Diceros bicornis minor: one gene and its partners. The protein of the gene in region 3 interacts with the protein of the main gene of each other region in a pairwise test. Links are inferred from orthologs where the notes say so. Each region holds a gene or a part of one and is shown on either strand. Other genes may lie near its edges.

The links.
Region 1: the proteins of ZBTB9 (region 3) and EHHADH interact in binary tests that used the Homo sapiens proteins (3 or more experiments, as listed by UniProt). The two-hybrid records come from large-scale screens. The link is inferred for Diceros bicornis minor from reciprocal best matches to the Homo sapiens genes ZBTB9 and EHHADH.
Region 2: the proteins of ZBTB9 (region 3) and LASP1 interact in binary tests that used the Homo sapiens proteins (3 or more experiments, as listed by UniProt). The two-hybrid records come from large-scale screens. The link is inferred for Diceros bicornis minor from reciprocal best matches to the Homo sapiens genes ZBTB9 and LASP1.
Region 4: the proteins of ZBTB9 (region 3) and TSR2 interact in binary tests that used the Homo sapiens proteins (3 or more experiments, as listed by UniProt). The two-hybrid records come from large-scale screens. The link is inferred for Diceros bicornis minor from reciprocal best matches to the Homo sapiens genes ZBTB9 and TSR2.

What each region holds. Positions count from the first base shown.
Region 1 is NC_080754.1:38,515,244-38,522,440, reverse strand, and holds the start of EHHADH (peroxisomal bifunctional enzyme), read right to left. Parts: upstream 3,019-7,197; 5' UTR 3,003-3,018; coding exon 2,929-3,002; intron 1-2,928. UniProt on the Homo sapiens protein: Peroxisomal trifunctional enzyme possessing 2-enoyl-CoA hydratase, 3-hydroxyacyl-CoA dehydrogenase, and delta 3, delta 2-enoyl-CoA isomerase activities. Catalyzes two of the four reactions of the long chain fatty acids peroxisomal beta-oxidation pathway.
Region 2 is NC_080757.1:38,784,814-38,791,851, reverse strand, and holds the start of LASP1 (LIM and SH3 domain protein 1), read right to left. Parts: upstream 3,013-7,038; 5' UTR 2,875-3,012; coding exon 2,806-2,874; intron 1-2,805. UniProt on the Homo sapiens protein: Plays an important role in the regulation of dynamic actin-based, cytoskeletal activities.
Region 3 is NC_080753.1:31,037,384-31,044,693, forward strand, and holds ZBTB9 (zinc finger and BTB domain-containing protein 9), read right to left. Parts: upstream 3,019-7,310; 5' UTR 2,813-3,018; intron 2,627-2,812; 5' UTR 2,548-2,626; coding exon 1,135-2,547; 3' UTR 120-1,134; downstream 1-119. Other genes in the region: SYNGAP1 (ras/Rap GTPase-activating protein SynGAP), read right to left, coding at 5,707-5,853. UniProt on the Homo sapiens protein: May be involved in transcriptional regulation.
Region 4 is NC_080781.1:45,615,529-45,623,536, forward strand, and holds the start of TSR2 (pre-rRNA-processing protein TSR2 homolog), read right to left. Parts: upstream 3,018-8,008; 5' UTR 3,003-3,017; coding exon of another isoform or gene 2,993-3,002; coding exon 2,919-2,992; intron 2,756-2,918; coding exon 2,665-2,755; intron 115-2,664; coding exon 1-114. UniProt on the Homo sapiens protein: May be involved in 20S pre-rRNA processing.

The DNA of each region.
Region 1 (7,197 bases), on a different chromosome or scaffold from region 3:
GGGCACATATTTGAGCCACCCCTGATGGCCTCATGGTTCAAGTTTGGCACTCACCACTTCAGTGGCCCGGGTTCAGTTCCGGGTCACAGAACCACACCACCGGTCTGTCAGTAGCCATGCTGTGGCAGTGGCTCATACAGAAGAACTAGAACGACTTACAACTAGGATGTACAACCACGTTCTGGGGCTTTGGGGAGGAAAAAAAAAGAAGAAGAAAACAAAAACAAAAGAAGAAGAAAACAAAACAAAAGCAACAAAAGGCACATATTTCCTTCTGGGTAAATGATGGCTGCAAAATTAGCCAAAATGAGCTCAAACAGTGCCACTGAGGAGAAGAGCTTGGCTTTTCCCATTTCAACCAACCCCTACTCTTTTATTTCTTATGTTCTTTCAATTTTGCAAAAATCAAACACAAGAAATAAAGAAAAATGAAGATGGCTGTAACAGACACAGCTTTACTAGATTCAAGCCTCCTGAAAGAGACCACAGCCTAGGAGCAGTGTCAAGGTCACAGGGGTCAAGAAATTATTTTCTCCCCTTAATATTGTCAGGTATGGAGAAGGGGAGTCTGGAATAGATAACATTTCATGAGTGCTGACCAAAACTCTTTAGCTTCTGTGACTGTAGGAGGTCTTTTTTTTTTAGGTTTTTTTTTTAAACCAAAGGTCGTCAAATCAACTTTATGGCTATGACCACCATTTTTTTAAACCAAGAAATACAGAAAAAGAGAAAATAGAATATATCAAATTATATAACATATAAGGACAAGTTTTGTCTCACAAAACTGTTTTCAGTTGTGTATTTGTCTGTGTGTCTTAGGTTGCTACACAAAACAGGGTTTTTGACTGTGTGGATTACAGTTAAAAAAAAGTGGGAGAGCCATTGTTCTGAGAGACAGGCCTAGGAATCAGGCATGCCCTATACTTGTAAAGAGGGTTGGCATTCATCTGAATGGAAGGAAACATGGCTGGCTAAACTAGCAGAGAAGGATTTAAACTATTTGGGCCAAAAAGTATTCAAAAAAGAATGTCTCAGTGAGCTAAGAAGAGATAATTTCCCACAGAAAATTAGAAATAGGAAGGGGAAAAGAAAGAGAAGAAGTAAAGAAAAATATAAAGCACAAAAAAAAGGGAACCTGTTAAACTTGATAAACATGCTGGGATGTACAGCTCTACCTAAAATATAAGTTCAAAAGAAGATAGATGAGAAAGGGCAGAAAAGTATTTATGCCCAAGTGGAGAAAATCTTGATGAAGCTGAAACGAATCCTGGGCAGCAGGGCCTGTTGGTAGGGGCTTATAACAGGCCTCTGACTAATAAAAATCATGATAGCTAACATCTGTTAAATGCCTGTTTATAATCTCCAACACATTTATTTATGTATTTTTATTGTATAAGTTGCAGTTGTACAGCTTCATAATTCAACATCTGCATACACTACAAAGTGATCACCACCGCAAGTCCAGTCACCATCCATCACCATACAGTTGACCCCCTTCAGCCATTTCGCCCATCCTCCTCCAACACATTTAAACCTCACAACAACTTTATCAGGTACATACTAACATTTCTCCAGGGGGCAAGCGGGCAGGTTAAATACTTGAAATATTTAAAATAGCTATGAGAAAATATTCCTTGTTACAGGTATTACACTGTGGAACATTTTTCCCCCAAATTCTTGATGGGCATGGTTTCCCATTGTGAGCAGAGGCTGAGGCAGACAGTCCTAGTATCTAGTCATTCTAATTAGAATACAGACAAGTCTAAAATTGATATGTAATCATATTGCTTATGGGTTTTTTTGGTCAAAACCAAAATAATGGCTATTTTGCCTTTTTCTGAGAATGGCAAGTAGGCAGACATATCATCGTTGTGTGATTTTACTCTTGCATATTTTTTGTATTATTAAATGTAATAATTCATGTCAAAGATAAGAATTATAATATTAATACTAATGATATAATCAAATCTGATGACAGTAGGAAAAAAATTCAGTTAAAATGAGCAGGTCTCCTCGTTCAGTCCCTTTTTGCTCCAGCAGCAGGCAATAAGAATTTTGAGCAAAGGTCTTTCTCTCCATACTTTATATATTCTTCATAAATTCTGCTAATCCTACTCCCTAGGGATGGGGTGGCTCTCTACTAGGCTGATGTATCACTATACTTTTTTCAGAGATATGAAAGAACCAAACCTATGCTAATTTTCAAAAAAGCAGCATTAATCTCCCTTTTAAAAGTACTGCTTAAGTGCACTGCACAAATCTGGGTTAGAGAGTTTAACAAGGAAGGTGCTCCACGATAAAATAAAAGAAGATAAACCGCACAGCAGTTTTTCAGAAAATGTTATTTAATAGGCTTACTCTGACTTGGATCTTCCAAGCACTGAAGCACTAAGGCCCCGAGGTTTAGACAGATCAAGAGATAGAACTGTGCTTTTCTGGGCCAGGACACAATTCTCCTTTACTTCACTGAGTTGGCATTAATGGAGACCTTAATTTATTTTTAAGAATGTGAAGTCACTTTATTGTTGGATTCCTAGAGCTTTTAGTTACACATTGTAAGGGTGGCCTGGACTCCAAGTTGGCAAGGGAGAGATCAAGGTCTAGCCAGCACTGCGCTTAGACCTTTGGAATAGAAAGTACGGGTGAGAAGTCAAAGTTGCAAGGCATGGACAGACCCGGTTCAAGGCCAGCTCCCCAACTTTGTGGCCCTCTGTCCACCTCTCAGCCTCGGTTTCTTACCAGTGAAACCGGGATGCGAGTTCTCTGCGAACATGAACCAAGCTAACCTACGTAAAAGGCATATGCCGTTGTTCAACCTGTGTTAGTGCCTCTCTCCGTTTAAACCAGCAGAGGAGAGTCAAAGCCACCACAGCGGGCAGACGGCTAAGGCCCTGCTGTCCCGGGGCTGGAGGCCACCGAGCCCGTTACCTGATCGCGTTGACCGGCGGGTTTCGGAGGCGGATCAGCGCCAGGCAGTTCTGCAGCCGCGTATACTCAGCCATGTCTCCTCTGTCGCCGAGGTCGCCTCCGCCTCCCGCCCCAGGGCAATGCTCCTTTTCTCGGCGCGCCGGGCCGGCCCCGCGAGGAGGGGCGCCCGCTGGGCCAATGCGAGCCCGGCGCCACCTCCCGCCGCCCCGCCGCTCCCGGGCACCGACGCCCATCCTCCGACCCAGCCCTCCCCCTTTTCCGGACCCCAGCCCCGCGCTCTGCAAACCCTTGTCTTCCGTTTCTCTTTCTTGGCTCCCATCCTGCTCCCGTTACAAAGTAGATCAGGGAAGACGATGGAAAACGGGTGGAATTGCCAGGAAGTTGAGGTTTGCAACCCCCTGGCCCAGGGGGCTGGCTTCTCTGAACGAGTTCTAGGTTCACTAAGTTGGTGGAGCTGTCCTCATCACAGATTTCATCCTCATGATCCTTCTTAACAGGGTCAGATATCTGGGGTCCTGACAATTATGTGATATGACACACACCTGGAACACATAAAATACACACATCATGCATTTCACCTAAATAGGTATGGTACTGACATCAACCAAATTTTTACAGAACAGTCCTACAGTAACCTAATGAAACCTGTGAGTTTCTTGTCTGCCTAATCCTATTTTTTTCTTCTTCTGCCATTCCTAAGGATTGTGAATCCTAACATTTCATTCATGAATTGAGTACCTATTATGTGCTAAGGTAGGCAAGAGACTAAAGATAAATAAGGCCTAGCCCCTTCACTCCAAAAGTTCAGGCTGGGACAAGGTTTTTCTAGATGTAATTGGCCCCTAGTGGTCTCCACAGCCATCAAGTGGCCAGAAGGCAGTTTGGAAGTTTCAGAGAAAAAAAACAATGGAGTGATTTTGTTCACTGATGTTTCACAAATTTTAGCAGTGATTAAAGGCTATTTTCATAGATATTCTTTTACCTCTCGAAACTGTCGGGAGAGAGGGAGAATCTCCCTCTGCCCTTTTCCTTAAGGTTCTTATGGCTGGCCAAATAATCAACAAGATAGGTTAGCAGCAGAAAATAATACCAAGTTTAATAACATGTATACATGGGAGAAACTCAAAAATGAGCAACTCGTCCCTCTGTCTAAGCTGCTTGCTTAAGTATTGCAGCTAAAGGTGAGGAACGTGTTGGGGGTGGGTAGTGGTCTGGGACTTCAGAGGCCAGGAAGACAATTCTTTTCAGGGTCATCTATAGATAATGTGGTCAGGGAGAGACAGAGTTTTTGATAAAAGAGGCTTGGTGCCTTTCCTATTGTAACTTCTATCCTACATTATCTTTACAGCAATCATGATAATAACTCCTTCCTGAAACAGATCTTTTGTTTTAAATTCTTTAGGCAGTTTGGGAGGGGAAACTCAAATATTCTTCCTGAATTCTCTGAGTCCTTATTGTCTTCAGCTCGAAATAATCCGCATACCAGAGTGGTGCCTCCTGGGGTAGCTTGCCCTGAGCACCATCAGAAATAAAAAGAGATTGTGGGGCCGGCCTGGGGGAGTAGTGGTTAAGTTCACGTGCTCTGCTTCGGCAGCCTAGGGTTCACAGGTTCGGATCCCCGGCATGGACATACGCACCACTCATCAAGCCATGCTGTGGCGGTGTCCCATATACAAAATAGAGGAAGATGGGCACAGATGTTAGTTCAGGGACGATCTTCCTCAGCAAAAAAAGGAAGATTGGCAGGGGATGTTAGCTCAGGGCCGATCTTCCTCACCAAAAAAAAAAAAAGAGGTCTGACTTCTAGGAAAATACCAATTGCCCTGAAGCCCTGGAAACAAATAGCAGTCAGAACCCACCCAATCCATCAAGGACCACCTATCAAGAACAGCCCTGACTCTGACAGCCAGCCAATCACACACAGCCCAGTACGCATGTCTCTGAGCACCAACATCAACAACCAGCTTCTTACAGGTGATAGCAATCTCTCATGACTCTGAAAATTTGCCAGTCCGTGAATGCCACCGTACCCAAAAACTCAATGTAAGATCAGCAGTCTGCTCTGCTTGTAGAGACCGTGCATGACGAACACAGCTTTCCCTTACTATAGGAAGCAATACATTCAGTTTTGTCTTCTTATTTCAGATACTGGTCTCTGGGGGAACAACTCTGTGGCATCCTAGTGACTTTGAACATCTCCACAAAGTCTATGTAGGCAAGGCTAACAGCTCTGAAAGGCCTGAAATTCCTCCTGGAGCAAGGGGAGATCAGCGTGGCGTGGAAACGTTTTGAGGCAGTTTCTCATCTCTCTCGTGGAGGAGTTGACCACAGGTCATTTCTCACCTATCTCCCTAGTTTTAGTAAAAGGCAGAACTTTCTGCCTTGCGCCCCCGCTCCAACCTTAGGTACAGCTGCAAATTTCTGTGAAAATCTATATAACTGCTTGACAGTAGTTGAGTGTTGGCTCCTCCACAGGGCAGGGACTAGGGTAAGCAAGCGAGGCACCTAGTGGGCAAAATTTAAGAAGGCACTCACTCTCAGTTTCCTACAGGTGCTGACCCAGCCCTGCTCCTCACCAACAGAGGGGCCCAAGGTTCCTGTGATCCGTCATCTAGCCCCTCCTGTTTGGTGTCATCCTGTGGAACTACAGACACAGAGAGCTGACACCATGCTGATCTTTCTTTTGCCGTGTAGATAATAAACTAAATCTATTTTGGCTCCTTATGGACTGAATCTATGGAGCTGTGGCAAAGCCAACTTGGCAGGTGCCGCCATGCTGCTGCTTGACCACGTGACAGTCTCTTTGTCATTGCGACGAACTGTCGTCTTCTCATCTAATGTGTCTCAATAAGCGCAACTTAACAGGATGCCATTCCTCCCGGCTAATGTACTTCCACATCATTTGCATGTTACTGCTTTTGCTTGTTAACTATGTCATTTTCATTGTTGTCGTTGTGTTGCAATTCACACAAATAGATCAGTTGATCAGAAGTGGCTCATTATTGTTGAAAAGAAAAATAAAAGAATGTAAATATAGAACTTTTGTGTGCCAGAACATCAAAATATGTGCTCACAATAAGAACAGAGAACAGAGATGACTATCTAAACGTGGTGATGTGTTGGGAAACTTCATTCGATAATGGCAGATAGCCATCATAGCTGACTTCTCTGGTAAACCAATCAGGTTTTTCTGGAGCAAATGAAAAATATTGCTTACCTGCTGGAGGGATAAAATCTCTCACACGTTCTTTTCCATGTCCTTTCCCCTTTCACTGTGGGATACAAATGGGCACAAGGCCCAGAGAAGGATACAGCCACAGACAGAAGAAATGACTTCCCAAATGATTTTGTGGAGGAGAACTGCCCTGCTGGCTAGAACCAACATGGACTATTACAGGAGAAAGAAAGAAATTTGGGTCTGTTTGTTAAAGAATTTTAACCTGTCCTCACTAATACAGTGAAGAAATGGGCAATGAGAACACTCTTCCACAGTGAAGTTGGCTGACATTTGAGGAGAAAAGTTGCTCATATAAGTGTTTGAGATAAGAGACGGGACATAATTTCTTCACTATACCAAGAATATCAATAATGACAATCTCTATAATTTCAAGTGGCTTGCTCAAGTGTCGAGCCTTGGAGATACAATACACACACACACACACACACGTATATTCAGTATCTTAATGATGAAGATAAGCCAGCAGATAATCCTAAAGCGGACCCAACTGTGGCAAAAATGACTCAGTCACATCTTGATAATCTTCACTGGTTGAAATGTTGGAGATTAATGATGTATTATTGAGCATATTTAAAGATCATGCCCATATGCTGCAACCAAATCTGGGCTGAATGCAGCCAAAAATCAAACTGAGAATCCATTCACTGCTATCTCCCATGTTTCAACCTCTCAGCTTTTCAGTAAGCTCTGCTTATCACTTTAGATTTTCAAATAGTTTTTTCACTATATGTGTCATCTCTGTCAACTTCTGGACTGAAAAACATGCATGAAATGTCCCTTCTCCACAGCAGAAGCACCTTTTATGACATCTCTGGCATTCTCCAGCATCCAATTTCATTTTGTGTTGCAAGAGCAGTTAGGCTATAGTTCACCTTTATACTTTCCCAGCTCTTTCTCCTAATTTCCCGCATATCATTTTACTGAAAAGAGACTATTTTGTTTGCTAATGATAATCTTTTTCAGCTTTTCTGACAAATTAGCCCTATTTAGAAAGAGGCTACATAGACATAAATTTGAGAGATGTCCTAGGT
Region 2 (7,038 bases), on a different chromosome or scaffold from region 3:
TCAAAATGTAGAGGACATTCTGAGACAGCCTCTCTCCCTTCCCAAAGGCCCTGCAGCAGCCCTGCTGGGGGCTTGGCACAGAGTAGGGGCTCAATAAATATTTGCCAAATGAATGAGGGAATGAGGTCACCCTGTTTCTCCCCCAACTCTAATCCCAGAGTCCTCTAGGGAAGCAAATCTCAACCTCCTTCCCCCAACACCGTCATCAGCAATACATATTTATTCAGCATGCAGAGCACACTGGGTAATGCAGGTTGGGGGCAGGGTGGCCATCAGAGGTGACATGGCCTTTACCCACCTAAGCCTTTGGGAGATAAGGCTCAGGGAGGAGAAAAGGCTAACACCAAGGACACAGCTTGTGCTCTGGGTCACATGGTGAGCGGGCTACAGGCTGTAGGGAAATTGTAGTGAAATGAGTGAGTCTAATTTGACTCTCTCTTAATGTAAACGGGAAGCCTTGGGGACTTGTATGCCCCCGCCCCCCCAGGTCTCAGTCCTCCAGACACCAGTTCCCGGTCCAGGTGCCTGTCCTTACTGCCTGGAGGAGGTTGGAACCAATAGTCTGATATCTGGATATTCCAGGCCTCCTGCTCAGGGCAGGGGTCAAGGTCTTCCCAGGGCCAACTCCTGTAGGGAGAGCTCTAAAAAGAAGGAGGAACCACCAACTCCCACTTCCCAGGGCAACCCCCACTGAATGTCCTCTTCCAGCTAGGACAAGAGAACAACTGGGGGAGGGCACCTTGCAGGATCCCTGCCCCCCTCCCCTCTGACACGCAGCACCAAAGGTCCTTACAAGGGGAGCCAGGTGTGGACAGAGTATCCCAGGAAGGTAGGAAGGCACAGGCTATGCCACACCCACTTCTGGGCACTTAGGTAGGCACTTTAGTGCACTCCCCCACCTCCAAGGAAGTGACATCACCATACCCAGATGGCGAATACTGAGGCCTAGGGCCATTCATAAAGCTGGGGGAGCAGACCTGGAACTAGGACAAAGTCTCCCAACTCCTGGGCTAGCAATGCCTCCATCATATATTGTTCCCGCCTTATCTGGGTGAAAGTGCCCACAGCCTCTTCCCAACTCATGACTGTGGAGAAGAAGGTGGGCACAGGGAACTCAAGATGCAGAAGTCAAAATCCCTACCACCAGAGAAGGGCAAAAAACCCAGTGTGCAAGGACAGATAGTTCTTCAGCTAGCGCCTCCAAGCTGAAGTCCTGCCCTCCAGAGGCTGGCACGGTCATTGGGAAGGTCAGCACCCACATCCCTTGTGTCCACAATATGGCCCTCCTCTCCTCCAACCCAGCCAAGCCCAAGAGAGACAGCAGTGAAACAGCGGCAGCCCCATATGCCTCCTTCCTTCAAGACCAAGTTCAAATGTATTTCAGAACCTTAGAACACCACCCCCTCACCCTGACTCAGAGGCCAAAGGTCACTAAGGAAGCTCCAAAACCAAGGGGGAGGGGAGAGACAAAAAGTATCCAATGAACTGTCCTTTCCAAAACAAAACCTGGCTCCAGGTGGGCAGTGAACTTGGCCCCAGGGCTCTGCACCCCTCTTCCATCCCATGCCCCCTACCCCTGCCAGTTCAGATGCAAAGGAGGGAATATCTGGACTTAGAGCCAGCTTTGGGAGGTGGGAGAAAGGCACGACGAGGAGGGGGACAATCACAGAGGCCTCTCCTCCAGACTGGGGGGGAGATGCAGAGGGGAGGCAGATTCGCCTCAGGATCTTAGGGAGCTTACAAGAGGACTGCATCCTACCCCAAACTGCTGGAAACACCCAGTTCTAACTCTCCGCCCCCCTCCAAAAGTATAATGGCAACCAGATGAACGAGTCCAGCGTGGGGGGGGGGGGGCGACGCGTAAGGGCCCCCAGGGTACAGTGAATTTCAAAAATCCACCCTCCCCTCCCCCCAAACACCTCCCCCTTTTCTTGGCTTCCCCTGAACTCGGCCAATACCACCCTCCATTGGGGAAACCTGCTTTAAAAAGTTAGCTCTTTGTTCCACAAGCCGGTCTCAGGCTCTGAGCACAATTTCAGGAGATCTCTGCGAAGCACCCCCCACCCACCCTACTCCAGCACCCGACCCCGCCCCGCTCCAGCTGGGCGGCCGGGCACCGGGAGTTGGCTTCTAATCTGAGGTGGGGGCTGGGAAGCTATGGAGGAGGTCGGCTAGTCCATTAACCGATGAACCACTAAGGGAGCTGCAGGTCGTCCAAAAAAAGGGGTCTCGCAGTGGGGCTCGGGTCCTTATCTGAAGCTCAGTTCACCAGTTGCAACGCTTGCCGGCTGATAGCCCCCGCCCCCCAGTCTCCAGGCCAGGAAGCCGGGCCATTCAGGGCCACAGCAGACGGTTTCGCTCGGTCCCCCAACCTCTGCCCCGCCCCCCGCCGCCCCCTCCCCCAGCGCCCGGCGCTTCCGCCTACTTGGCGCTCGGCGCGGCGGGGAGAGGGAGCGGCCGTCTCTTCTCACTCTCCCGGCCCTACGGGGGCGGGACTGCACCCCTAACCTTCCCCCACCCCCCACCCCGGGGCCTGGCTTCCCACTCCTCTTCCGTCCTCCCAACCCCGGGGCAGAGCCCACTCTTCTCCAGTAGTGGCTGCCTGCCACGCGTGGACTCCTTGCCTCGCTTCGGATCTCCTGGTTTCCAGACTGGGGTCTGTCCCCACACCCCATGACACCGCCCTCCTTCCCTCCTCCCGGGATCGCGAGGATAAGGCGGCATAGACCCGGCCCCTCTCTCCTCCTCCAATCTGGAACCCTGCTCAGGGATTGCAAAAACGCGTCTCCCGGTCCCGGGGCTCACCTTATCCAGACAGTTCACCTTCTCCGTGGGGTACACGATCTTGCCGCACCGGGCGCAGTTGGGATTCATGGCTCCAGGAAAGGCTGGGGCGGGGACGCCCGAGCTCGCGCGCGTTCTCTTTCCCCGGAGCGAGCTGGCGGGAGGCGGCCGCGCCTGCAACTACACAGGCGGCGACGACCGCGGCTGGAGCTAGGGAACTGGCCTCCGCCTCCGCCCTCCTTCCCCTAATAAACACAGCGGGGAGGAGGGGCTGCACCGGGGCGGGGACGCGCCGCGGGCGCGGGCGCGGGCAGGGGCGCGCGCGGCGAGGCGCGCTCCCCGGGCGACGTGGGGCTGCGCGGGGGCGGATTCCGGGGAGGGCTGCGGGGCTGGGGGTGCGCGCCTAGGTGCGTTGGAGGGCCCCTGCGCCCGCACGCTTTCAAGCAGAAGGTGACTTGGAGAGGGGCGCCCGGAAGCCAGGCGCAGGCAGCCGGCTCTGCCCAGGGCCCTTCCCGCTCTGGAGGTGGCGTGGAGCCGGTCTGGCCGCCCATCTGGGTCCCCTGGGCTGCGGGAGGCGGGCAAACCCTACACACCCGTCGAGGGTGGGGCTGGAACCCTCCAGAACCCCCGACCAGATTCGAGGACTTTCCTTTGTACCCGTCGGTAACTAGTGTGAACCTGCGGACCGAACGGGAACCCCCTGCCCCGCCCCTCAGCTGCCCTTCCCCCCACATCCTTTCCCACATTTGTAGGGCGGAACCGTCCCTCCCGCCTGTACTCAGCGCCTCGCAGCCCGGGATACTTCTTTCTTTCCCGCGCCTCCGCCGTGCTGCTTTCCCGGGGTTCCCCGGATCCTTCTTTCCGCTTGGCCTCGTTTCCTCCTTCATTCTTTTCTCCTTACCCTTACACCTCACCCTCAGTGTAGCAGTGTCTCAACACCCAAAAGAGCCGTCTCCAGGTGCAGGAGCGGCGAGGGGGTATAGCTCAGTGGTAGAGCATTTGACTGCAGATCAAGAGGTCCCCGGTTCAAATCCGGGTGCCCCCTTTGTAGTTTTTCCTTTCTTCTATACCTAGCATTTTAACAATAGCTCCTAGGTTAAAAGAAAACAGAAAGACAATTTTTAAAAGAATCCCTTCCTCATTTTCCAACTTTAGCGGAAGCTTTCGATTTTGCTTTATACCCAGCAGAAGGGGGAGGGGCGGGTACGCGCACAAATCAGGTACAAAAGCTGCCCGTCGCCATTACCTGCGCCAGAGGTGTCAGGATTTCTGCGGCCACCGCCAGCAGCCTCAGATGTGTGAGGCAGTTCGAGGCGCCGGGTTCAAGGGACAAAATGACTCCCCCAAGTTGGCGTTCCGTTTCCAACGGGGTTGGGAGTGGGTCAAGAGAGGGAAACCCACAGACACAGCCTTTCTCCAACTTCAACTTTCTTTATTACCGGTGACATGGACGTGCTGTGTTCACCCTTCCCTATTGCTCATGACACAGGCGGAGTGAAAGCACTTCGAGAACGTTAAAATGGCCAATGCACACATATAAGCTCATTTTAATTTACAAAATTAAAGTTAGATCCTGATGCAAACTGATATAAACTAATGTAGTGGTTCTCAAACTTGAGCGTGCATCAGAATTACCTGGGGAACTTGTGAAAACACCCCCAGTTTCTGATTCTGTAGGCCTGGAGTGGGACTCTGAGAATTTTGCATTTCTAACAAATTCCCAGGTGACACTGATGCTGCTGGTCAGGGGACCACTCTTGGAGAACCACTGAACTAGTAATACACGCCCATCCAGTTTCATAACCTCAAGGTGGGGACAGATATCTGTTGGCTGCGTGACTGACAGTGTCACTGTTGGACGAGAGGAAAACGGTAAGTGTGAAGGGAGCAAAGGCGTCCGCCTCAACGGTTTTGCCCAAAAAAAGGAAAAATAAAGGAGAAAGGGAAAGGCATGCCGCCTAGGTCAGGGGGCCGCTGCGATATTTTAAACCCGGAATCTGGTTGTGTCATCCCTCGGCGCCCCAGGGGAATACTCGAGCGCGTTTTTTCCAAACCACGGCTCCCGTTACTGTGAAATGCATCGTGAGGCTGGACATGGAGATTGAGCAGAGCTGCTGTCCGGTGCAAAGCCCAGACCCGAGAAATAACCAGCTTTTCACTCCTTTCCTGGACACCAGGCCTTCAACTTATACTGCAGGTTTAGGTTTATCAGGCCAAAGCCCTGCCGTCGAGCTAGTATAAAGAAGAAAGCTGTCCACTTTTCACCGTCTTTTATCTGTGCTGTGTACTGTTACAAACTTCCCGTCTATATAAATCTTCTGAACTTTTGTTCTAGTCTTCCCGGTCAGAGTATGAACTGGGCAAAATAATATTCCCCTGCCCCGGCACTCCATTTTTACCCAAAAAGAAGCTGTAATTAACATTAAATCAATAGATCTGGAACTCTTGGAGATAGGAATACGGTAGTTCGGCACCTTCTCTCTACCTATTGAGAGCGCAGGTGGGCTTTTCGCCAGAGTCGGGGTGTACAGTTTAGACGCAGTCAAGTGATCCCTGTGCAAACTCTGGGGTGTTGCTCTCTACTTCTCAGGTACCGGGAACATTTGAATGAGGAAAACTGGGCGGGTGGAAGAGACAAGATCTTCCCGGGAGTTTTGGATTCAGAACCCGCAGACATCCGGGTTATTCTGAGTTACACCTGAGCGGATCTTCCACAGAGTTTTGGATTCGGAATCCGCAGACATTCTGGTTACTCTGGGTTATGCGAAAGTGGTTGGGAAAAACGTAAAGGTAGGAGAGGGGGCACCCGGATTTGAACCGGGGACCTCTTGATCTGCAGTCAAATGCTCTACCACTGAGCTATACCCCCTCTGGTGGCAAGGTTTTGGCAAATTCATTTTACAGCAATCTTAAATTTTTTTCATACTGAAAATTGTTCAAAATCAGTCCCTTCTTGCTAGATGATACTGAATTTACTAATAAGAAGGAATAAAAGAAAAAGACCAACTGAAGATATGGCATTTTGAAAACGTGAATTTGGGTACAAATCTGCCTTTTCTTGGCTCAACTCTTTATCCAAATCCCACCCATCTCTTTACCCTAAGAAGTCAGAGAACAACCTCTTGCACAACTGAATGGAGAGAATCCTTTCTCCTGGTCTCTGTAAAAAGAATACAAACACCAGCTAAAAAGATATCTCTACTGAGAGACCTTCCCTGGCTATACTCTCTAGTGTGGCTATACTCTCTCTTTTTATGGAGTAACTACTATGTGCCCTACTTTAGGTGCAGAACATACTTTCAGTAGAAAGACACAACGGTTCTCACTCTCACTGACTTTGAAATCTAGTGAAGACACACTAGAAACAAATGCACAAACGAATAAACAGGGAAATGCCCAGTAGTGATACCAGAGATGTTTAGAATTAAAAAAAGATGATGTGTTAGAAAGGTTCAGGGGGGCTATTTCAGGTTGGATAACCATGGAAGACCTTTCTGTGCAGGAGATTTTACAGTTAAGACCTGAATGACATGAAAGAAACAGCCATTTGGCCATCTGTGGGGCGGGGGTTGGGGGGGCGGGGGGGGGCATTCCAGGTAGAGGAAATGGTTACTGCAAAGGCCCCAGGGACAGAATGGCTGGAAGAAGGTAGACAAGGAGAGAGAGATTCAAGAGAGCTGGAGCCAAGTAGCCAGGGCTGAAAAGGGCCTTGTAGGCCAAGGTAAGGAGGTTGGATTTTATTCTAAATGGATGAAAAGCCAACCATTGGACAGTTTGAAGCAGAGGGATTTGAAATCATCACCCACACTGCTGTGGGGAAGATTTTATAGGGAGTCAAGAATACATACACACAATGGAGTATTATTCAGCCTTAAAAAAGAAGGAAATCTTGCAATATGCAACAACATGGGATATTATGCTAAGTGAAATAAGCCAATCATAGAAGGACAAATACGGCATGATTCCACTTATATGAGCTATCTAAAGCCATCAAACTCATAGAAGCAGAGAGTAGAATGGTGGGTGCCAGGGATGAGGGGAGAGAAATGGGGAGTTGCTAATCAATGGGATCAAGTTTCACTTGTGGAAGATGAATAAGTTCTAGAGATCTGCTATACAGCATTGTGCCTCTAGTTAACAATATTGTATTGTATACTTAAAAATCTGTTAAGGGGCTGGCCTGGTGGCACAAGCAGTTAAGTGCGCGCGCTCCACTGCGGCGGCCCGGGGTTCGTCGGTTCGGATCCTGGGCGT
Region 3 (7,310 bases):
AGTGTGAAACTATCCCATTCTCCCCCCAACATAACCCAGCTGCATACAGATCACATCCAAGTCTTTGCAATTCTGTTCTCATGTTGTCCCTCCCACATAAATTACTCATCAGTCCACTGTCAACTTGGATTTCAGGACAGTTTATTTTAAGAAATTAAGTAACCTGTGATAATCTCCCCATTCCAATATCTACCCTTCTACCTCTCAACCAAGGGGCTGTCCTGTGTAGGTGGGGATGGAAAGGGAGGCAGTGTGGTCCCACCGCACAGTTACTCTTCAGCCTTCAGCATGCCCTGTCTCAGCCCTGAGTCCCTCTGACCACGGCCACTTGTTCAGAGCAGTGGTGCTACCCTGAGAGCATTTTAGGTCAGTTGCCATCTCCTGAGTTCACTGGTCATATTCCAGTAACTGTGATCAATATATGAGTGATCAGTGGTGGTCAAAGGTAGACAAGAGGCACAAGCTGTTGAGGGAAAACCCTCTATTAAAGAGGATTCTAGGAATGTCATGTGGAATGCTCAATTTGTTAAAGTGCTCAACTACAACATAAAAAATAAAGGTGTTGGGAAGGTATCTACTGGTGAGAAAGCAAGTTATGATCTGAGGGGCTTCTAGAAAGATACAACAAAAAAAGTACATAAAGAGAACTCTGCTCACATTATTTCAGCAATGATGAGGGAGTGGAAAAACTTAGAGCTTAGTCTCTGAATTACTAGAACTCTGAACCAAACAAATCCCTAGATGGAGACTAGCTCCTTGACCATCTCATGGAGTTCGAATGAAACATTTATCACTATGTCTTTTTGTTCTAACTCTTCTCTCATCAAATAAAACTTCTAATCTGAAATCTGGTTTCCTGTAGGAAAAGGTCTATTATGGGCAAGCGATCAATTTACTTATGGCCTGTAAACCACTTTCTTGTAGGATTGTTAGCAAAAACCGGGGGTGAGACAAGAAATCTGAGTTTCCAAATCTGCTAGGTTGAGGCCCACACCCAAGAGCAAGAGGTCCATAATGCATCTATCCTCTTGGCATGATTACAAGATCCAGGATTGGGGTGCCATGGTAGCGAGGGTAAGGATCCGTCAGCAGCAGTGGCTCTCGTGTACTGGAAGTTAGTTTTGGCCTCCACAGTCACTTGTAAGTCCAGTGAGCAGTGGCCCAGCCCTGGCCCTTGCAGAGGTCCCGGTGGCGAAGGAAACAGGCATGAACTCGGAACCGACGGCCACAGTGGGGACACGCGTGCAGGGCTCCGGCATGGGTCTTCATGTGCTCTGTCAGATGGTGCTTCAGCTTGAAGCGCTTGTTGCAGATGCCACAGCCAAAGGGCCGAAGGCTGAAGGTCAGCATGATGTGCCGGTCACGCTTTGGCTTCACTGCAAACCGCTTCCCACACAAGCAACCAAAGCGTTTTCCATCTGCAGGGGGTGCCCCTCCTAGCTTCACAGGCCCGTGCACGGCCTGCCCCGCTCCCCCAGGTCCCCCACCTCCTGACAGGATTTCATTCCCGTGAAGATCCACTGGTTTCCAAGATGAACTCCCTCCTCCAGATGTTGCCCCTGCTCCTGAGGGCAGCAAGAACCCTAGCCCCCCATTCCCTTCTGCGTCCCCTCCAGCAAATACTGTGGTCTCCTCCTTTGCTCCTCCAGACTGAGTTCCACCTCCTGGTATCTCCTCCTTAGGCTCAAAGGGTTCCTGCTTAATGTAAAAGATTTTGGGGGGCAGTGCAGTATGAGGGGCAGGAGGCTCAAGGGGTGCACTCTCACCATCTGGAAGTCTGCGGGGAGCAGTGGAAAGGGGCAGTGGGTGGGATCCATGAGGGCGGGGAAAACCCCCTGACACTCTCTGAGGTTGAGGAGTCTGAGAGGGGGCTGCTGAGCCCTGGTCCTCCTCCTCCTCCTCCTCTTCTTCTTCTTCCTCCTCCTCCTCTTCCTCAACTTGAATCTGTAACACATCTCCCAGTTCACTCTCATCCCCTCCAACAGGACTCTCGGTAGAAGCGGAAGACGGCACTGGGGTCTGGAAAGGGGAAGAGCGAATGCACCAGGCTCCTGCAGAGGATGTGGTGGCAAGAGGCGCGTGGCAAGCGGTCGACCCACGGGTTGAAATCCCACCTGAGGTTTCGAGTTCTCTAAGAATCTCTGAGCACTGATCTACGACTTGCCACATCTGGAGGCCACTGGCCACAAGGAGGTGGGCAGGGAGAGCGTCCAGCGGCAGGCGCAGGCGCCCTGAATAAATGAGCTGGAGCAGCCCCTCGAAAGCATCAGCCTCAATGACGCTGGGCAGAGTGAGGCGCGGCGCGTCCCCCAGAAGAAGTTTGTCATGGAAGTAAGGAGAGGCAGCGGCCAGCACTGCTTTGTGAGCCCTAAGTTCCCGGCCCTGCACTAGGAGCGACACATCACAGAACTTTCCCTCCAGCCTGTGGCGGTTCAGGGCTTCCAGCAGCAACGAGCTGTGCTGAGGGAACTCGATCTGGATCGTCCGTGGGGCTGGGTTGCAGCTCGGGGAGGGGGGTACGGGAGGCAAAGGCGTCGAGGCATCCATGGCCTCCTGGGAAAGAGAGACCCCAGAGGATCGAGAGCAGGAGATGAGGGGCTGGGGCCGGCCCCACGTGGGATGAAGGCTGTGGAGGAAAGAGATGGGGGTCACAGAAGCTCTGGCTAACGGGAACCGTGTCTCCTCACACTACCCCCGCCTCCCCTACCCCCGACAGCTGGAAACTTGTCAGTCAGCGGCGGTTTCTGCCGATCAGTCCCGCGCACGCCTCCACCGAGAAAACAAAAACCACCACCCGCGACAAGACACCAACCGGGGTTTTCACTTCCAGGACGGCGGAGGAGGATGAGGCGGTGCTTCAGCCACGAGCCTGACCTCGCCGGCCCTGCCCGCCGCCCCGTTCAACCTCACGGCGCCTAAAGAGCCCGGCTCCCGGGAAGCCGCGCCCACCGGGAGAGCGCGAGCGCCGGCCAGCCGGCCCTCCCCGCTGCCACTCCCCCGCGGGTAGGCACGCGGCGAGACCGTGGCGCCTCGGCAGCCACGGCGCCGTCCCGGGCCGGAAGCCGCCGCCTCCTCGCCGGACGCCGTCGCCGGGCGCGGCGGGCGGAGCTGGGGCCGCAGCCAATGGAGGGGAGCGGAGGCCTACAAGTCTCATGTTGATTGGTTGCGCCGGCGAGAAGGCGGTGCTGGCTGGAGGCCGCCGGCCCCCGCGGCGGGGGGTCGGGTGGTCGCCCCGGCGGGAGGGGCGAAGTGCGACCCCGGAGAGCACAGGCAGGGCGGACGGGGTGGCCGGGAGTCATTCCGGCGATTAAACGTAGCGCCCGCCCCCCGGTCGGTGCTGAGAGGGCGAGATTAAATGGGCACCTACTGTGTGGGCTAGGCGTTGTCCACATCACCCTGTGCCCACCCCCCGCCCCGCGAGGTAGGTGCTGCCATCCTGTTTCCTCGGGCGAAACCGAGGCTGGCAAGCGGTGGGCCTCCTACGATTGGAACCCAGATTTGCTAAGGAACCAAGTTCTTTCCTCCATTCCGCACGGGAGCATTTTAACCAGCAATTAAACAAACCTTATTTCTAGGTAATTTTTTTTTTAAAATGATACATGTAGACATATACATCGATTCTTTTATCAGATGCCGCTGCTTGTTCCTAGACCCTTTTACTCCTTGGGGTTAAGTGGAGCAGTGGTGAAGGCAGAGCTGGAGCGGGCGCGTTTGGCCAGTGCAAAAGCCCTGTTCTAAAACAGAATGAATCTCCTGGCTGGGTGGGAGAGTGATTCTAGGGGAGATTAGATTCTAGGGGGAGACTATAGCATCACACAGGGATATACAGTTTCTCCCAGGCTATCAGCTTCCTCTCAAAAAGCAGATCCTATCACCCTGCTGGTCCATCTGGAGGTCCCAGCCTAGGAATGTCAGCACAGCGATAAAAGAACAATCTCCGTTTATTAAACATGATTTTTCTGTTTCACCACACACTCCAGAAAAAAAGGAAATGGGGCTGGGAGTGGAGAAAAAGGGGCAATGGTGCGGGACAAGAGAAGGGTGGGAGTGGGGTGGGGTGGGGAGGGAGAACGAGAAAACAAAATAAAACAGGTAGGAAGAGCATCTCCCTACCCTTAGGGGGGGTGGGTGAAGAGGGAAGCGTGGAGGGGAGGGGGCCAGGAAGCTCTGTACAGAGGGGTTGCCCCCAGCCCACACACACACACCCCGGATATGTACAGTACAAACCCCAGATAATTACAACAGCCAAAGAAGAGAGGAGGAAAAGGGGTCCAGGGGTAGGGTCTGAGGTTGGGAAAGCAAGGACAGGGCACAGGGATAAAATATCACATATTTACAACTTTTATATAAGTATAAATTTGGCCCCGGCTGGGTGTATGTGTGTAGGGGGATGGGACTGAAGGGGAACTGTCCATACAAAAGAAAGAAGGGTGGAGTCTGGGAAGAGTCTCAATACCAAACGCAAGAAGGGATGAGGGGGCAAGGCTGGGTAGGGGACAGCAGTCAGGGAAGAGGGGGTGCCAAGGAGGGGCTTTTCCCCTCCCATGACGTACCCACCCCAAACCCCATCCATCCTACCTCCCCTATCCCGCCAGAGAGCTATATACAGAGAAACACCGAAAAATTGTGGAGCTGGCGGGAGGGAGGGAGGTGGAGGGAGATTGAGGAGGGGGGAGGATGAGAGGGAAGCCCAGCCCTGTCCTACCTCCCCCCGGGGGACAGAGTCATGGAAGGGGGCCCCCAACACCCCTTCTCCAACACAGGTCCCCCCACCCTGGGGGAGAGAGACATGGCTTTTCCTAGAGTAAGTTCCCCTCTCCCCCTGGGAGTAGAGACCAAGAAGAGAGAGGGGAGGGGCAGGGGGGACTGTGTGTGTCAGGGGAGGGCAGATCAACTAGTCTGTCCTCCCCAACATACACACCCTCCTAAACCCTAACCCTTCACCCTAACCTCAATTCCACCCCACCCAACACACTGGGGGAGGGGGGGGCATAAGCCCCCTCACCCCGCTCTGGGACCAGCCAAGAGCAGATCAGGTGTGGGAGGAACGGGAGATAACTCCCATTCCCCCCTTGCCGCCCCCTCCCTGCCCCGGTGGCCCCTCCACCCCATCTGGGTTCTGGGTGGGAAGGGAGTAAATTTAAGAGTGGTAGAGGAGAAGGAGTTTGTGCGTGCTGAGCCCCCCCAGACGCTCCTGAGAAATCAAGGGGTAATAGGGCCCCCTCACCTGGGGTCCCCTCCCCATAACAACGGGGACAGGGGGAGGCCAAAATGGGGCGGTGGAGGGGAGTTAGATTGTCAGCTCTGGTTACTGCTAAAAAAATCACCCTGAAGTTGAAAGTTTGGAGGTGCCACACCCCCAGGGTGGGGGCGAGGGTCTGTCCCCCAGTGCTCAGGGGAACGATGAGGCAGAGGATGGGGATAGCACCCCGGAGTGAAGGGGTCTGTGTGGGGTAGGTGGTGTCCTGGGGCAAGGGTCCTTAGGGGTCACGGGGCAGCACCCCAACAGGAAGAAAAGGGGGCAGCTAAGGGTCCCCGTTCTCCCTCCTGGAAATGGTGCAGTGGGGGTGGGGGATTGGTGCCCCCCAAGGAGGCATTCAGGGAGGCAATCCCGCTGTCCCTCGGCGACGTCCATTCCTGGTGGTTGGTGCTGTTCCAGGGTGGGGTGCATGGGGAGGGAGAACAAGGTCTGTGATGCTGGGTGGGCTAGTGGTCTGCGGTGTTTCGGAACTCGCCGTTCTCGGTGATCTGCAGCCGGGGTGGGGGGGGCGGGGCTGGGGGGGCCAGGCCGTTCCAAGGTGGGGCCAGCGTCACACGCGGGTTTGTTGGACCCAAGGGGGGAAGCTGCCTCTCCTGCAAGACACCAAAGAGGAGAGCGCGGACTTATTGAGACGCTTCGCGGGGGCCTGGGTGCCAGCCCCCTAGCAGTGGTCTCCCCCATAGCCAGCCCACTCCATAAATTGTGTCCACCCCCTCCCCCCAGATCCACCCCCTCCCCCACCTTCCTATTTTCTTTCTCACCTGCCGTAGAAAGATCCTCATCTTCTGGGATCAGAGAGAAGAGAATCTCACCCCAGACTCCTAACAGGGGCCTTCAACCCAGGGAGTCACTCACACCAGGAAACCAGTTCAAAAGAATCAAGTTCCCACCTCACCCCCAACCTAACCCTTGTTATCTTCCTGCGCCCAGCCCACCCTCCTCCTCTTGGAACCCCCTCCCAGCCCACCCCCAATCCGAGGTAGGAGCTTTGTGTTGAGGGAACAAGGGGAGGCAGTACAGCAAAACCTCATTAATCCAAACCCCCATGGATTTGGAATTTTTTCATAATTTGAACAAAAACTGGGCTTGAGTTTTCCTTTATCTGTGAAGAAAGGGTGTGCTAAGCAAATTAATAGTGGAAATGTGCCTGTGGGAGAGAATATTTAACCTATACCAGAAAACAGACTTTTCAGGCCTGTGTATTCATTAACGCATGCTCCCTGAGGGCCTCAAGTGGAAAAGCCTTGTTCATTGAGTTCTACTTACTGTATATATTTTGAAGACATGCATTTCATTAAATAGACACAGTCATTCAGTTTTGTCACTTATTCAGAGTGGCCATCTTCTCAAACATAACATTCCAAATTAGAGAGGTTTAACTGTACTGGGTGGGGGAAAGGAAGGGGATTCAGGGAAGTGATGTGGGAAGGTAAAAATACTGTGGGAGGGCTGCCTCTCGCTCATGCTAACAGCAGAGGCAGAAACGACTAGGAGCTTCTGCAGAGACACAGCATGCCCCAATCTCTGCATCCCCAGGAAGCAGAAACACTTCATTCCTTTCCACCCCCGCGTTCCTTTCAGTCCCTCTCCGTGGGCTCCCACTTAGAGAGTGAGGGGTACCAAACCTTACTCCCACCCTGGTCCTATTCTATCACCCCCTGCCGCTCCTGGACCAACTCCTGGCTCCTGCCCTCAGCTCTGGCTTCTGTTCCTCTGTTGGGAGAGAAGAAAGCCATCTGTACTACACTTCTGGTCCCTCACTTGACTTTTTAAAATAGAGGCACAAAATTAATTTTTAAATTAATGGCTGAGTTGCAGAGGGACCAGTACCTAAAAGTGGTTTAGAAAAGTATCCAAATTTATTTCCTGGGCCACAGGGCATTTAGGCCTGGCAACCCAGTTATGTCTGACCATATCTCTAAAGGAAACAAACACATTCCAAGTAGAGGCTCCTAAATCAGCTCTCCCTTCCAAATCAAAGAGCTCACCTCTCAGAAGGTCACCAAAACCCCAGCCTTAAGCAAAGCTGCCCTCTTAGCTTGCTGAGCAT
Region 4 (8,008 bases), on a different chromosome or scaffold from region 3:
CTGGGGCAGACTTCCATCCTCCACAACTGTATCAAACTCATTCGTCATGAGCTCCCCGAGGAAGTCCTCCACCTCATCTAGCTCCAAGTCAGCTGAGTAGGAAAGGACAGGGCCCTATGGTCAAAGACCAGCCAACTTCATCACTCCTGACCACTACTCTTCAGTACCTACTTGGTGGGTCCACATCTGATTGGTGGGTAAAGGTCCAAACAGTGGGCCTTTTATTTGCTGAAGTGCTCTGCATTCCAAGTTTTAACATGATTTAAAAAAAAAAAAACAACACTAAATATAAATACCTGATTTCCAATTTCCTGCATCCTACTAAGCTCCCTATTCCCACAGCATCCCAGCCACACTCACCCTCTTTCATCTGGCCTATTTTAACCAGCTTCCTCTCTATGTGACCTTGAGCAAGTTACATATTCATCTCTGCCTCAGTTTCTCCTCTGCCAAGTGGGGCTAATAGTGGCCTCCTTGAAGGTCTGTTATAAGGAGTCATCCAAACAATGCATAGCACAGGGGAGACCCATAATCCATGTTAATTCCCATCACTCAAGAGCTGAAGTTTTTGAAGTGTAGAGACCCTTCACAACTGTGGCTCCACTGATACAGGAGGCCACAAACCAATGGGATCGGTAAGAAGAAATGGATGTAAGTACCTGCAATGATGAAATCATCATAGCCTTGACACCAACATCCTATTGTGTGACTTTGGCTGAGCCTTCCAGCCTTCCTCTCTAGGCTTCAGTTACCTTATGCTCTACTTTTTCTGAATTACAGAATAACTCAAGAAAGTCTTCCACAAAGTTCCTCTCTCTCTCTCCCCCCTCTGGGAGAGCTCATTCACCCCCTTGGCTTTCCCTACCACTCTAACCTAATATCCCCCAAATCTGTCTCCAACCCAAACTACTCTCCCCCTGTTTCACAGGTGCCTCAGAACCTCCATATCCAAAGCCAGACTCATGACCTAACCCTCCAAACCTACTTCTCACTCTCCAGGTTTCCTTTATTCCATGAAAGACACCTAATCCACCTGATGATACAAACCAGAAACCTGCCTACTTTTCCCTCCCCCTCTACAGCCAAACAATCTCCAAAGCCCTAATCCACTCCTTCTTTTCCATGGCTTTTGCCACTGCCCTAGTTCAGGCCTCATCATTTTCCAGACAGAAACAGCCTTCTCATCGGTCTTTTCCTCTCCAGTCTATGCTCCATACTGATTACTTTTTCAACTTTCTAGCCAGCAAATCCCATCCTATTACTCACCTTAGAACCCACCCATGAATTTTTATCACCTACTGCAGTGTTTCACATTCTGCTTTTGAGAAATAACTGTCCTGTTGGGTTTAAAGGGAAGGTATCCACAGAAAGCTAATGTGAAACAAAGGCAAACAGCTTTCTTTTTAGTGATTTTTATCCTTATCCAAACCTTTAACTCAAGTAGGAGCTGAAGAAAAGAGCTTTTCTTACATAACTTGACCGGAGAAGTTTTTTCTTCACCGAACATCTAATGGAACTAGTCTTCCATAGCATACATTTTGGCAAACGCTGGCCTAAACGACAAAATCAAAGGCACATAAGGCCTTCCAACGTCTTACCCTTTTCCGGGGGCCTCTCCACCCTGCAGCTTCATTCTCTATCATTCCTCCCCTCCACAAACCCACAAGCATACACTCACCATTACTCCAATACTGAGCTCCCTGCCAATTTTCCAAATGTCACACATAATCTCCTCATAGCACAGAACTTAAAGTATTTGAGTGTTGCTCTCTCTGCCTCCTCCACCTAGTTAACTTCTTCTCATCCCTTAAGACTCAGCCCAATCACCACCTCCCCTAACAATTTCCAAAAGAAATCTCCTTCCTACTCTCATGTTACCCAAGCACGCTGAGCTCCTCTTTATTAGAACATATATCACACCGTGTGTACATGCCTACTTACTTATCTGGATCCCTCACTAGATGGTTAAACTTGCTTGAAAGAAAGGACTCTGCCTAATATCATCTCCAAGCTAAAAAACTGAATGAAGAATTTTGTAAACATCATAGCACGCAAAATGCCCTCTGCAGGACCCCTTATTCTTATATGACCCCCAAGACACAGCAAAGGTGTAGATCTTTGCTGTGCAAATAGCCAAACGTGGTTACTGAGCACTTAAAATGTGGCTAGGCCAAATTGAGATGTGCTAAAACTATAAAATACTCACCAGATTTTTAAAACGCAATGCTAAAAAAGGATGTAAAATATCTTAATAACATTATATTGATTAAATGTTGAAATATTTTGGATATATCGAGTTAAATAACATTAATTTCATCTGCTTTTTACTTTACAAAAGTGGCTGCTGAAAATTTTTAAATTACATGATGTGACTCGCATTATATTCCTATTGGACACCAATGGGGTGGATACTTTTCTACCCATTTTAGGAATTAGAAAACTGAGTCTCAGGAAGGTAAAATGACTTGTCCGGAGTTATACCATGAGTCAACGGCACAGCCCGTAAGGCATCCGAACTCAGGATTCTGACTAAAGCCTCTATTCACTCCACCTCGCCCTCAGGTCCCAGGCGACAATTGCTCAAGAGGAAGTGCGGGCTCCCCAGGACCGGCCTCCTCCCCACACTCCCACACAGACAGGTCGCAGCCCCTCATATTCACTCACCATTGCGGAAAAAGTACTCCTCCACTGCAACCCCCAGCCACTCAGCCTTCTCCTGGCTGTGCACGCCCCCAAAGCCATTCTCCACAGCGATCTACAAACACAGGTCAAAGCCCACAACGTCAGCCTGGGAGCCGGCTTGGGGTGGCGTAGGGGTTCGCCGCTTACGCCGCCCAGCCAAACCTCAGGCGCCTCGCCCGGCCAACTCCTGTTCTGCCCCAGGCCCTAACCTTTATCCTGGCCGCGGCTCCACTCACCTGCAAGGCCGGCCAGGCCTCCAGCGCCGCGCGGACGCCAGCCCGGAAGAGCGCTCTGGAGTCTTCTCCAGCATCCGCCATCATGCGGCCGCAGACCACGTGACGCCCAGGCAGCCCAATCCCTACTGAGTACGGCCCAGGCAGAATGAGTCGGAAGCCGAGCCTGAGAACGCAGATTCACCTTTCCACTGACTGGGCAGCAAGACTAGAGCAATAGAAAAGTCTGTCAGAGCAATCGATGACACCACCCCAGTTAGGCACATTTAACAATTAAATCAAAGGAGTGGAGGAAGCTGGGGTCATGGGTTCTGGACCTGTGGAAACTGTGCGGAAAAGATGTGAGGAACTTATTAAAGATACAGATTCCGGGGGCCGGCCCCGTGGCATAGCAGTTAAGTGTGCGGACTCCGCTGCTGGCGGCCCGGGTTCCGATCCCGGGCGCGCACCAAGGCAGCGCTTGTCAAGCCATGCTGTGGCGGCGTCCCATATAAAGTGGAGGAAGATGGGCACGGATGTTAGCCCAGGGCCAGTCTTCCTCAGCAAAAAAAAAAAAAAAGAGGAGGTTTGGCATGGATGTTAGCTCAGGGCTGATGTTCCTCACAAAAGAAAAAAATACAGATTCGACTCTGGGACAGAGGAATCAACCTCAGAGAGCATAACCTAAAATTCTGCATTTCAAAAAAGCATCCTAACATCTATAGAACAATGCACCTGACAACAGCAGAATACATAATTTTCTTAAGTGCACATGGAACATGAACAGACCATATACTGTGTCATAAAGCAGGCTGCAAACAGTTAAAAAGACTGAAGTCATACAAAGTATGTTCTCTGGCAACAATGGAGTGAAATTAGAAATCAACAACAGAGAGAAATTTATGACATTCAAAATATGTGGAAATGAACACATTTCTAAATAACAAATGGGTCAAAGAAAAAAATCACAAGAGAAATTAGAAAACATCTTGAAATGAACGAAAAGGAAGGCACAGCACACCAAAATTTATGAGATGCAGCTAAAGCAATGCTTAAAGGGAATTTTATAGCTACAAACACATATTAAAAAAGAAGAAAGATCTCATATTAATAACCTAACCTCCACCAAAGCAAGCAGAAGGAAGGAAATAATAAAGATTGGGGAGGAAATAAATGGAATAGAAAACAGGAAAACAATACAGACCAAAGCAATCCTGAGAAAAAGAACAAAGTTGGAGCTATCACACTCCCTCACTTCAAAATATACTAAAAAGCTGTATACATTGTACTGCCAGAAAAATAGACACAAATCAATGGAACAGAATTGAGAGCCCAGAAATAAACCCAAACATTTAGGGACAGCAAATTTTTGAGAAAGGAGCAAAGAACATACAATGGAGAAAGGAAAGTCTCTTCAATAAATGGTGCTGGGAAAACTGGACAGTCACATGCAAGAGAATGAAAGTAGACTATTTTCTTACACCATACACAAAAATTAACTCAAAATGGATTAAAGACTTGAATCTAAGACCTGAAACCATAAAAATCCCAGAAGAAAGCATAGGCAAGTACACTCTTTGACATCAGTCTTAGCAGGAGGTTTTTGATTTTTTGGGTTGTTTGTTTTTTGTGAGTAAGATTAGCCCTGAACTAACATCTGTTGCCAATCCTCCTCTTTTTGCTGAGGAAGATGGGCACTGGGATAACATCCATGCCCATCTTCCTCTACTTCATTTGGGACGCCACCACAGCATGGCTTGACAGGCGGTGCATCAGTCCGCACCGGGGATCCGAACCTGAGAACGCTGGGGGCCACCGAAGCGGAGCACATTAACTTAACCACTATGCCACCAGGCCGGCCACTTGCAGGATGTTTTTGAATATCATGTTCTCTGAGGCAAGGGAAACAAAAGAAAAAATAAACAAAGGAGACTACATCAAACTAAAAAGCTTCTGTGCAGCAAAGGAACCCATGAACAAAGTGAAAAAACAACCCACCAACTGGGAGAAAATATTTGCAAATTATATATCTGATAAGGGGTTAATATCCAAAATATATAAAGAATTCATACAACTCAAGAACAAAAAAAGAACAACTCGATCAAAAAAATGGGCAGAGGATCTGAACAGACATTTTTCCAAAGAAGATATACAGATGGCCAACAGGCACATGAAAAAATATTCAACATCACAGTTGTTAGGGAAATGCAAATAAAAACTACAATGACATATCACCTCATACCCATTCAGAATGGCTATTATTAAAAAGACAAGAAATAACAAGTGTTGAAGAAGATGTGGAGAAAAAGGAACCCTGTACACTGCTGGTGGGAATATAAATTGGTGTAGCCACTGTGAAAAACAGTATACAGACTTCTCAAAAAATTAAAAATAGAAATACTATATGATCCAAATATTCCACTTCTGGGTATTTATCCAAAGAACAAGAAAACACTAATTTGAAAAGCTATGCATACCCCTATGTTCATTGTGGCATTATTCACAATAGCCAACATGTGGAAGCAATCCAAGTGCCCATCAATGGATAAGATGTGCTGTGTGTGTGTGTATATATATACATATATATATATATATATATATATATATGTATAATGGAATACTACTGAGCCATAAAAAAGACAAAATCATGCCATTTGCAACAACATGGACAGACATTGAGGGTATTATGCTAAATGAAATGTCAGATGAGAAAGACAATTACCATATGACTTCATTCATATCTATAAGTTAAACAAACACTCCATATGGAGAACAGATTGGTGGTTATCCAAGGGGAAGGGGTGGGGGGGAGGGTGAAAGGGGTAAAGGGTCACATGTGTACAGTGACAGATGGAAGCTAGACTTTTTATGGTGAACACGATGCAGTCTATACAGAAGCCAAAATACAACAATGGGCACCTGAAATTTACATAAGGTTATAAACCAGTGTGACCTCAATAAAATAAATAAGGGAAAAAAAACAATAGAGAAAATCAGTGCAACCAAAAATCAGTTATTTGAAAAGATCAACAAAATTGACAAACTTTTAGCTAGATCAACTAAGTAAAAAAGAGAGAAGAACAATTACCGAAATCACGAACGAAAGAGGTGACATCACTACCAACCAGTCAAAAAAGACCACATATCGTATGAAACCATTTATATGAAATGTACAGAATAGGAAAATCTATAGAGACAGAAAATAGATTAATGGCTGCCCAGGGCTTGGGGAGGGGGGAAATGGGGTGTGACTCGTAATGGGTACAGAGTTTCTTTTTTTTTCAATTATTTTTATTGACAGTTTATTTATAGTTTATAGCATTCTGTAATTTCAGGTGTATATTATTATTTATCAATTTTGGTATAGAGTGCATCGTTACCCCTCTGGTAACCACTAATCTATTCTCTTTATTCATGTGTTTGTTTATCTTACACATATGAGTGAAATCATGCAGTATTTGTCTTTCTCTGTCTAGCTTATTTTGCTTAACATCATACACTCAAGGTCCATCCATGTTGTTACAAATAGGATGATTTTGTCTTCTTTTATGGCTGAGTACTATTCCATTGTATATATACCATATCTTCTTTATCCATTCATCTGTTGATGGGCACTTGTGTTACTTCCATGTCTGGGGTATTGTGAATAATGCCCCAATGAACATAGGAGTGCGCGTATCTTTTCAAATTAGTGTTTTCTTGTTCTTTGGATAAATACCCAATAGTGGGATAGCTGGATCATATGGTATTTCTATTTTTAATTTTTTGAGAAATCTCCATACTGTTTTCCATAGTGGCTGCACTAGTTTGTAATACCACCAGCAGTGTATGAGGGTTCCCTATTCTCCACACCCTCTCCAAAATTTGTTATTTTTTGTCTGGGTAATTATAGCCATTCTATCAGGTTTAAGGTGATATGTCATTGTGGTTATGATTTGCATTTCCCTAATAATTAGTAATGTTGAGCATCATTTCATGTGCCTTTTGGCCATCTGTATATCTTCTTTAAATTAATCCCTTGTCAGATATATGATTTGCAAGTATTTTCTCCCAGTTGGTGGGTTGTCTTTTCGTTTTGTGCATGGTTTCCTTTGCCTTGCAGAAGCCCTTTAGTCTGATGTAGTCCCATTTGTTTATTTTTCCTTTGTTTCCCATGCCTGAGTAGACAGGGTATTCGAAAAGATGCTGCTAAGACTGATGTCAAAGAGTGTACTGCCTATATTTTCTTCTAAGAGTTTTAGGGTTTCAGGTCTTACACTCAAGTCTTTAATCCATTTTGAGTTAAATTTTGTGTATGGTGTAAGATAATGGTCTATTTTCATTCTTTTGTATGTGGTTGTCCAGTTTTCCCAACACCATTTATTGAAGAGACTTTCCTTTCTCAATTGTATGTTCTTGTCTCCTTTATCAAAGATTAGCTGTCCATAGATGTGTGGTTTTATTTCTGGGCTTTAAATTCTGTTCCATTGATCTGTGTGTCTGTTTTTGTGGCAGTACCATGCTGTTTTGATTACTATAGCTTTGCAGTATATTTTAAAGTCAGGGATTGTGATGCCTCCAGCTTTGTTCTTTTTTCTCAGGATTGCTTTAGCTATTCAGGGTCTTTTGTTGTTCCATATGAATTTTAGGATTCTTTGGTCTATTTCCATGAAAACTGTCATTGGGATACTGATAGGGATTGCATTGAATCTGTAGATTGCTTTAGGTAATATGGACATTTTAACTATGTTTATTCTTCCAATCCATGTGAGTGGAATATCTTTCCATTTCTTTATGTCATCTTCAATTTCTTTCAATAATGTCTTATAGTTTTCAGTGTATAGGTTTTCACCTCATTGGTTAAATTTATTCCTAGATATTTTATTCTTTTTGTTGAGATTGTAAACAGGATTGTATTCTTGACTTCTCTTTCTGCAAGTTCGTTATTAGTGTATAGAGATGCGACTGATTTTTGTATGTTGATTTTGTACCCTGCAACTTTGCTATAGTTGCTGATTATTTCTTATAGTTTTCTGGTGGATTCTTTAGGGTATTCTATATATAATATCATGTCATCCGTAAACAGCAAGATTTTCACTTCTTCCTTTCCAATTTAGATACCTTTTGTTTCTTTT